2 linked regions of the Macaca fascicularis genome follow. The protein of the gene in region 1 binds, or shares a complex with, the protein of each later gene. Links are inferred from orthologs where the notes say so. Each region holds a gene or a part of one and is shown in the gene's direction. Other genes may lie near its edges.

What was found.
Region 2: THOC5 (region 1) and DDX39B share a complex: the UniProt entries of both Homo sapiens proteins name them as parts of the transcription/export (TREX) complex. The link is inferred for Macaca fascicularis from reciprocal best matches to the Homo sapiens genes THOC5 and DDX39B.

What each region holds. Positions count from the first base shown.
Region 1 is NC_088384.1:22,130,350-22,134,164, forward strand, and holds part of THOC5 (THO complex subunit 5), read left to right. Parts: intron 1-1,158; exon of another isoform or gene 1,159-1,455; coding exon of another isoform or gene 1,456-1,488; intron 1,489-2,253; coding exon 2,254-2,397; intron 2,398-3,316; coding exon 3,317-3,430; intron 3,431-3,815. UniProt on the Homo sapiens protein: Component of the THO subcomplex of the TREX complex which is thought to couple mRNA transcription, processing and nuclear export, and which specifically associates with spliced mRNA and not with unspliced pre-mRNA.
Region 2 is NC_088378.1:140,193,147-140,196,961, forward strand, and holds part of DDX39B (spliceosome RNA helicase DDX39B), read left to right. Parts: intron 1-170; coding exon 171-263; intron 264-2,301; coding exon 2,302-2,485; intron 2,486-2,535; exon of another isoform or gene 2,536-2,611; intron 2,612-3,495; coding exon 3,496-3,614; exon of another isoform or gene 3,615-3,815. UniProt on the Homo sapiens protein: Involved in nuclear export of spliced and unspliced mRNA. Component of the TREX complex which is thought to couple mRNA transcription, processing and nuclear export, and specifically associates with spliced mRNA and not with unspliced pre-mRNA.

The sequences.
Region 1 (3,815 bases):
CTGAAGCAGGAGAATTGCCTGAACCTGGAAGGCGAAGTTTGCAGTTAACTGAGATCACGCCACTGCACTCCAGCCTGGGTGACAAGACTGAGACTCTGTCTCAAAAATAAAAAAATTAAAAAAAAATAAAAATAAAAAAATAAAAACCCGTTTTTTGAGGAGAAATTCAAGTTGGTTGCAGAAATTTGCATAAGTAGCAGGAAGCCTAATGTTAATCTCCAACACCATGGGGAACATGTCTCTAGGCCTTGTCAGAGACCTTCATGGCAGCCCCTCCCATCACAGGCCCAGAGGCCCAGGAGGAAAAAGTGGTTTTGTGGGCCAGTCCCAGGTTCCCCGTGCTGTATGCAGCCTAGGGACTTGGTGCCCTGTGTCCCAGCCACTCTAGGCATAGCTGAAAGGGGCCAATGTAGAGCTTGGGCTGTAGCTTCAGAGGGTGGAAGCCCCAAGCTTTGGCAGCTTCCATGTGGTGTTGAGCCTGTGGGTACACAGAAGTCAAGAATGGAGATTTGCTCCGCCTGGATTTCAGATGTATGGAGACGCCTGGATTCCCAAGCAAAAGTTTGCTGCTGGCGTGCTCATGGAGAACCTCTGCTAGGGCAGTGTGGAAGGGAATGTGGGGTTAGAGTCCCCACACAGAGTCCCTACTGAGGCACTGCCTAGTGGAACTGTGAGAAGAGGGCCACCGTCCCTCCAGATCCTAGAATGGTTGATCCACCAATGGCTTGGGCAATGCACCTGGAAAAGCTGCAGACACTCAATGCCAGCCTATGAAAGCAGCCAGGAGGGAGGGAGAATGTATCCTGCAAAGCCACAGGGGCAGAGCTGCCCAAGACCATGGGAACCCGCCTTTTGCATCAGCGTGACCTGGATGTGAGACTTGGAGTCAAAGGAGATCATTTTGGAGCTTTAAAATTTGACTGTCCTGCTGGATTTTGGACTTGCATGGGCTCTGTAACCCCTTTGTTTTGGCCAATTTCTCCCATTTGGAATGGCTATATTCACCCCATTGTACCCCCATTGTATCTAGGAAGTAACTAGCTTGCTTTCGATTTTACAGGCTCATAGGCGGAAGGGGCTTTCCTTGTCTCAGATGAGATTTTGGACTGTGGACTTTTGGGTTAATGCTGAAATGAGTTAAGACTTTGGGCGACTGTTGGGAAGGCATGATTGGTTTTGAAATGTGAGGACATGAGATTTGGAGGGGCCAGGGGCGGAATTATATGGTTTGGTTTTCAATCTCAACTTTAATTGTATCTCCCAGAATTGGCACATGTTGTGGGAGGGACCCAGAGGGAGGTAATTGAATCATGGGGGCCAGTCCTTCCCGTGCTATTCTCATGATAGTGAATAAGTCTCGCGACATCTGATGGGTTTATAAGGGGTTTCTGCTTTTGCTTCCTCCTCATTTTTCTCTTGCCGCTGCCACGTAAGAAGTGCCTTTCACCTCCCGCCATGATTCTGAGGCCTCCTCAGCTATGTGGAACTGTAAGTCCAATTAAACCTTTTTTTGTTCCCAGTTTCAGGTGTGTCTTTATTGGCAGCGTGAAAGTGGACTAATACAGATGGGAAGTCGCACTTAACAGCACAGATGATATGATCCCGTTTTGTTTACAAATAAAATGTTTATTTATCCACAGTCTTCACAGTGGTGGTGTTTCGGACTGAAGCGAAATTATAGGCAATTTTTCTGTTTTCTTTTTGATACTACTCTGTATATTCTGAATCTTTGACATCAGGCATGCATTACTCTGCAATCAGAAAGCAAAAGAGGGCCGGGCGCGGTGGCTCACGCCTGTAATCCCAGCACTTTGGGAGGCCGAGGCGGGTGGATCACAAGGTCAGGAGATCGAGACCATGGTGAAACCCCGTCTCTACTAAAAATAGAAAAAATTAGCCGGGCGCAGTGGCGGGTGCCTGTAGTCCCAGCTACTCGGGAGGCTGAGGCAGGAGAATGGCGTGAACCCGGGAGGCGGAGCTTGCAGTGAGCCGAGATTGCGCCACTGCACTCCAGCCTGGGCGACACAGCAAGACTCCGTCTCAAAAAAAAAAAAAAAAAAAAAAAAGAAAGCAAAAGAGGTTTCTATTTTGAAGAGAAGAAAAGCATTTGATTTAAGGACCAGATCTTTTAGAGACCTGATTGGGGCTTCATTGTTACTGTTTTTATCTAACGAGATGTCAGCCAAGTGTCCCTGATCCCAACAGGGAGACTTTTACCTCACGGACACAGAGCCTTTATCCTTACCTCTACAGGAAGGTAAATACTACAGTGAGGAGGCCGAGGTGGATCTGCGGGACCCTGGCAGAGACTATGAGTTATACAAGTATACCTGCCAGGAGCTACAGAGGCTGATGGCTGAGATCCAAGACCTGAAGAGCAGGGGTGGCAAGGATGTGGTAAGAAGGGGGACCACGTGGCCGTGAACCTGGTGGGTATGCGTAGATGAGGCTGTTTTTGCACCTACCAGGGCCCTTCCTGATCTTGGTCTTCTGTCCTAGCCATGATCAGGTGACTGGAGCCTCAGGGCTCCCAAAACCTATTAATTTATTGGAACTTCTCATCACCACTCAGTCACCAATTACAGTAATGAAAGTATAGGATAATTAATTTTTTCCCTACTAATTTGATCATTTATCCAATTAATATTTATTAAGTGCCAGGCATTTTGCTAGGTGTTGAGAAATGATAATAGTACTTATACATTTGCTTGATACAAAGATTGATATGTATAAATAAATTATAGACACCAAAAATGAAATTATCATTAATAGTAAGTGAATAAATGAGGTTTTAGGGGCAGATAAATTAAACAACGTGACTAAAAACTTGATAAGTTTTTAAAAAATCCATTTTTTTTCCAGGAATTGCACATATTCGTGCCTATGCTGACAAGTTTTCTTACGATTATTGCATTCAATCTATTGTAGCCAAGCTTTATGGCTATAATTCTGTGATTTTCCATTTAAGTTATCCTGTAATGTTATTTATAGAGGTCAAATTTTATGGCAAGATGTTACTATTGCCGGGATCTCTGCGTAGGATCTGTAGAGACAGATTGTGCCTTCGCTGCCTTTATTCCAACTTCAATTCCTGTTACTCTAGTCCAAGCAGAAATTGCTTTTTTTTTGCCTGAGATTCTTAAGCGTTTTCCTTATATAACCATCCCTCTTATTTTCTTCATGACTTTTCTCATGGTTCTGGGCTCCCTCCAGTGCCTATGTTTGGCCCCAGATGAGGATGGGTCGGTGGTGAGGGACGGAAGGAAGCTGAGCGAGCCCCTGTCTCAGTGGGCTTTACTGTTTTCTTTGCTCACAGGCAATCGAAATTGAAGAACGGAGGATTCAGAGCTGTGTGCATTTCATGACTCTAAAGAAGCTTAACCGATTAGCCCACATCAGGTTGAAGAAAGGAAGAGATCAGACCCACGAGGTAGGAGTTAAAAGGTTTAATTAACCTTCCTCCTTTCTCCTCCTCATCCCCTTCTTTTTTTTTTGGAGACAGTCTCGTTCTGTCCCCCAGGCTAGAGTGCAGTGGCACAATCTCGATCTTGGCTCACCGCATCCTCTGCCTCCCAGCTTCAAGCAGTTCTCCTGCCTCAGCCTCCCAAGTAGCTGGGATTACAGGTGCCTGCCACCACCACCATGCCCGGCTACTTTTTGTAGTTTTTAGTAGAGATGGGGTTTCACCTTGTTGGCCAGGCTTGTCTTGAACTCCTGAGCTCAGGTGATCCACCCGCCTCAGCCTCCCAAAGTGCTGGGATTACAGACGTGATCCACTGCACCCAGCCCCATCCCCTTCTTTATTCCCTTTACAC
Region 2 (3,815 bases), on another chromosome or scaffold:
ACAACCTGACAGCTGTGGGGAATGTTCTATCCAAGCATGGGGTTCGTGATTTAGATCACAGAATTGAAGTCATTTATTATCGGCCCAGGTGTGTTTTTGTCAGTCACTTCCCTAGAGGGAACGATGAAGGGCTACACTCATGGTATGTCTCGGTCTACTTCCTGCCTAAGGTGTCTGTGCTGGTGATGTGTCACACTCGGGAGTTGGCTTTTCAGATCAGCAAGGAATATGAGCGCTTCTCTAAATACATGCCCAATGTCAAGGTAAGCCGAGGTAAAGAGACCTCAGAGTGAGGGTGTGGCAAGTTGGAGGGATAAGAAACTTGTAGGCCAGTAGTCTCTTTAATTTTGGAGAAGTTTTAGTTTGCCATGGTTTAACAGTGTTAAGATCCTATGTAACGGGAGGATTCGTAATTGGGCTATGGATGATGCTTAACCGAGACCACCCTTTTTTTACTACTTTATACTGACTTTGAATCCTATCAGTTTGGTAATTTTGGGGTGTGTGGCAGAGAAAGCCAGAAACTTTAAAACAGCTTCAGGGGTGTGTGAATATTGAGGATTCTGGCCAAGTGCGCAGCGGCTTACACCTGTAATCTCAGCACTTTGGGAGGCCAAGGCATGTGGATCATTTGAGGTCAGGAGTTCGAGACCAGTGTGGCCAATGCGATGAAACCCTGTCTCTACTAAAAATGCAAAAATTAGCCGGGCGTGGTGGCACACACCTGTAGTCCTACCTACTTGGGAGGCTGAGGCAGGAGAATCGCTTGAACCCAGGAAGCAGAGGTTATAGTGAGCTGAGATTGTGCCACTACACTCCAGCCTGGGTGACAGAGTGAGACTCCCATCTCAAAAAAAAAAATCTGATTGAAGTTAAGCATTTTTGGCAATTATCCTTCATAGGTGATGCTGTATCTCCTGTTGTGCCAGAAATCGGGTTGACTTATGTTAGTTATTTTTATTTTTATTTATTTGTTTTGAGATGGAGTCTTGCTGCGTCCCCTGGGCTGTGAGTGTAGTGGTGCGATCTCAGCTCACTGCAGCCTGCACCTCCCAGGTTCAAGCGATTCTCCTGCTTCAACCTGCTGAGTGGCTGGGACTACAGTGTGCCATCATACCCGGCTAATTTTTTTTTTTTTTTTTTGGTAGTGACAGGGTTTCGCCATGTTGGCCAGGCTGGTCTCGAACTCCTGACCTCAAGTGATCCACCCACCTCGGCCTCCCAAAGTGCTGGGATTACAGGTGTGAGCCACTGTGCCTGGCCTCATTAGTGATTTTAGGTTTACCATAGGATTAGCATCGTGACAGTCTGATTCCATGGTCATTCTTTTCCCCCTTAAAACTAGAGTTTCTGGTGTTATTTGACACTGTACCAAGGCCCAGATCCCTAACCAACTATTCACCTAATGGTTTTAACATGAAGTGATAATATTTCACCCAAAGCAGTAATTTCATGGGGTTTGTATGAAGGAGTTTGAGATTCTGGGTTTATTTAGGAAAACTTAATGTTCCATGTGTTTTTTTGTGGTACTTTATACTAATCCTGGTAATTTCTTGCCGTCCTTTATTTATTTATTTTTTATTTTTTGAGATGGAGTCTCGCTCTGTCATCTAGCCTGGAGTACAATGGCTCAATCTCGCCTCACTGCAATCTCCACTTCCTGCATTCAAGCGATTCTCCTTCCTCAGCCTCCTGGCTAAGTTTTGTAGTTTTTGTATTTTAGTAGTAAATTTGTAAATATTGTATTTTAGAAGAGATGGGGTTTCACCATGTTGGCCAGGCTGGTCTTGAACGCCTGGCTTCAAGTGATCCACCTGCCTCGACTTCCCAAACTGCTGGGATTACAGGCGTGAACCACCGGGCCTGGCTTTATTTTATTTATTTATTTATTTATTTAGAGACGGAATATCACTCTTGTTGCCCAGGCTGGAGTACAATGGTGAGATCTTGGTTCACCGCAACCTCTGCCTCCCGAGTAGCTGGAGTTATAGGCGTGCGCCACCACACCTGACTCCTTTATTTTTAAAATGAGGCTTGGCCTCATAAATGAAGGAAGATGGTTAGATTAAGTCAGAAGAACTGAATTATTGTCCTGACTGCTCCGACTAGCTATGTAACTTTAGGCAGTCACCCTCAGTGTTTGGTGGGGGGACATAACATTTCTAAATTAGGTGACCTCTAGAGTTAGTTTTAGTTTTGAAACATGCTAAAAATTGGTTTAGCTCAAACAGTGGGAACTCTGGGGGGATTGGACTCTTTCCTTCCTCTTTTTTGAGACTCTTTGCTCCTGGCTCTCGGCAGGTTGCTGTTTTTTTTGGTGGTCTGTCTATCAAGAAGGATGAAGAGGTGCTGAAGAAGAACTGCCCGCATATCGTCGTGGGGACTCCAGGCCGTATCCTAGCCCTGGCTCGAAATAAGAGCCTCAACCTCAAACACATTAAACACTTTATTTTGGATGAATGTGATAAGATGCTTGAACAGCTCGGTGAGTGGCAGTGCTGGGACTTGGCTAATGCTGGGGAGTTGTTCTTTGGAGCCAAATGATGTTTATTTGAAACAGGAGCGCCTCAGTGCAAGGACGACTCTTATCTATCACCCATGACTGATGGCTCTGGGTTCCCTGGTTGGGCTTTATTATGCTTTTAAGCACAGTAAAGGATGTCATCTATCATCTTTCTATGATTTTTGTTTTTAATCTTTGAGAATAGGGGACTTCGGTAATTTCAGGCCTAAGTTATCACCACCACCACCGTTTTCATTATAGATTCCTATACTGGAAGTCATAGGGGAGATTCTAAACTGAAAGAGAAGACAGTACCCTTCTGGCATCTCCAGCACAGCATTTACAGTCAGAATTTATAGCTGAATAAGTTTCTAGACTCAGGTCTGGGATTAATGTAGAGAGGGTAGCAGTTCGTGTGGTGTGGTATTCTAGTGTGCCAAGTGGGGTTAATGGAAGTTTTTTCTGTAAGATTTGAATCTTGGTGAATGAGTGTGGGGTTGGACATAGGCCCCATAAGTCATTACAAATGGTCTTCGGCAATTCAGTGTGGTGAGTTATAAAGGTGGGCTCCAGGTAGCAATGTCATATTTGCCTGAGTTGATAGAAAAGTGATCCAGAGAGTCATAGATGGACTCTGCTACCTGGAATGTAATATATGGTTGATACTTGTAGTCTCCTGAGGGCTGGCTGGGGCTTGGACAGGAAAGGATTGGGAGAAGGGCCTGTAAAGCATGTTTCGAAGGCCTTGAGAGCGTCTGCACTGGGCTTTGTCCCCGTTTTATAGTTGGGAACTTTGGGGTTTTATCTTATTTCTTGCTTGGTTAAAACGAACAGCTGGAATCTGATCCCAATTCTTGATTCCAAGTCCATTGCTTTTTCCGTTGTGTTATTACTATTTCCAGCAATCTTCACCTCACTGGAAAGTCTACCTCTAATCTTTGTTTATCATACTTGCTTATTTTCTCCTACAATTTTTTTCCTTGTTCTTGTAGACATGCGTCGGGATGTCCAGGAAATTTTTCGCATGACCCCCCACGAGAAGCAGGTCATGATGTTCAGTGCTACCTTGAGCAAAGAGATCCGTCCAGTCTGCCGCAAGTTCATGCAAGATGTAAATACCCTTCTACCTTCTCTCCCTCCACTCCCCGCCCGCTGCCTCCTCCCCTTCCTCGCCCTCTTCCTCAGACTCCCTTGTCATTCAAGTGCCAAGAAGGCGGCTTGTGCCCAACTGGGAGTAATGACTCCTTGAAGAGACATACAGAAGCAGAGACAGCTAGTGTTAGGGTCTGCGCGGGTGCCAGGGAAACTCCGG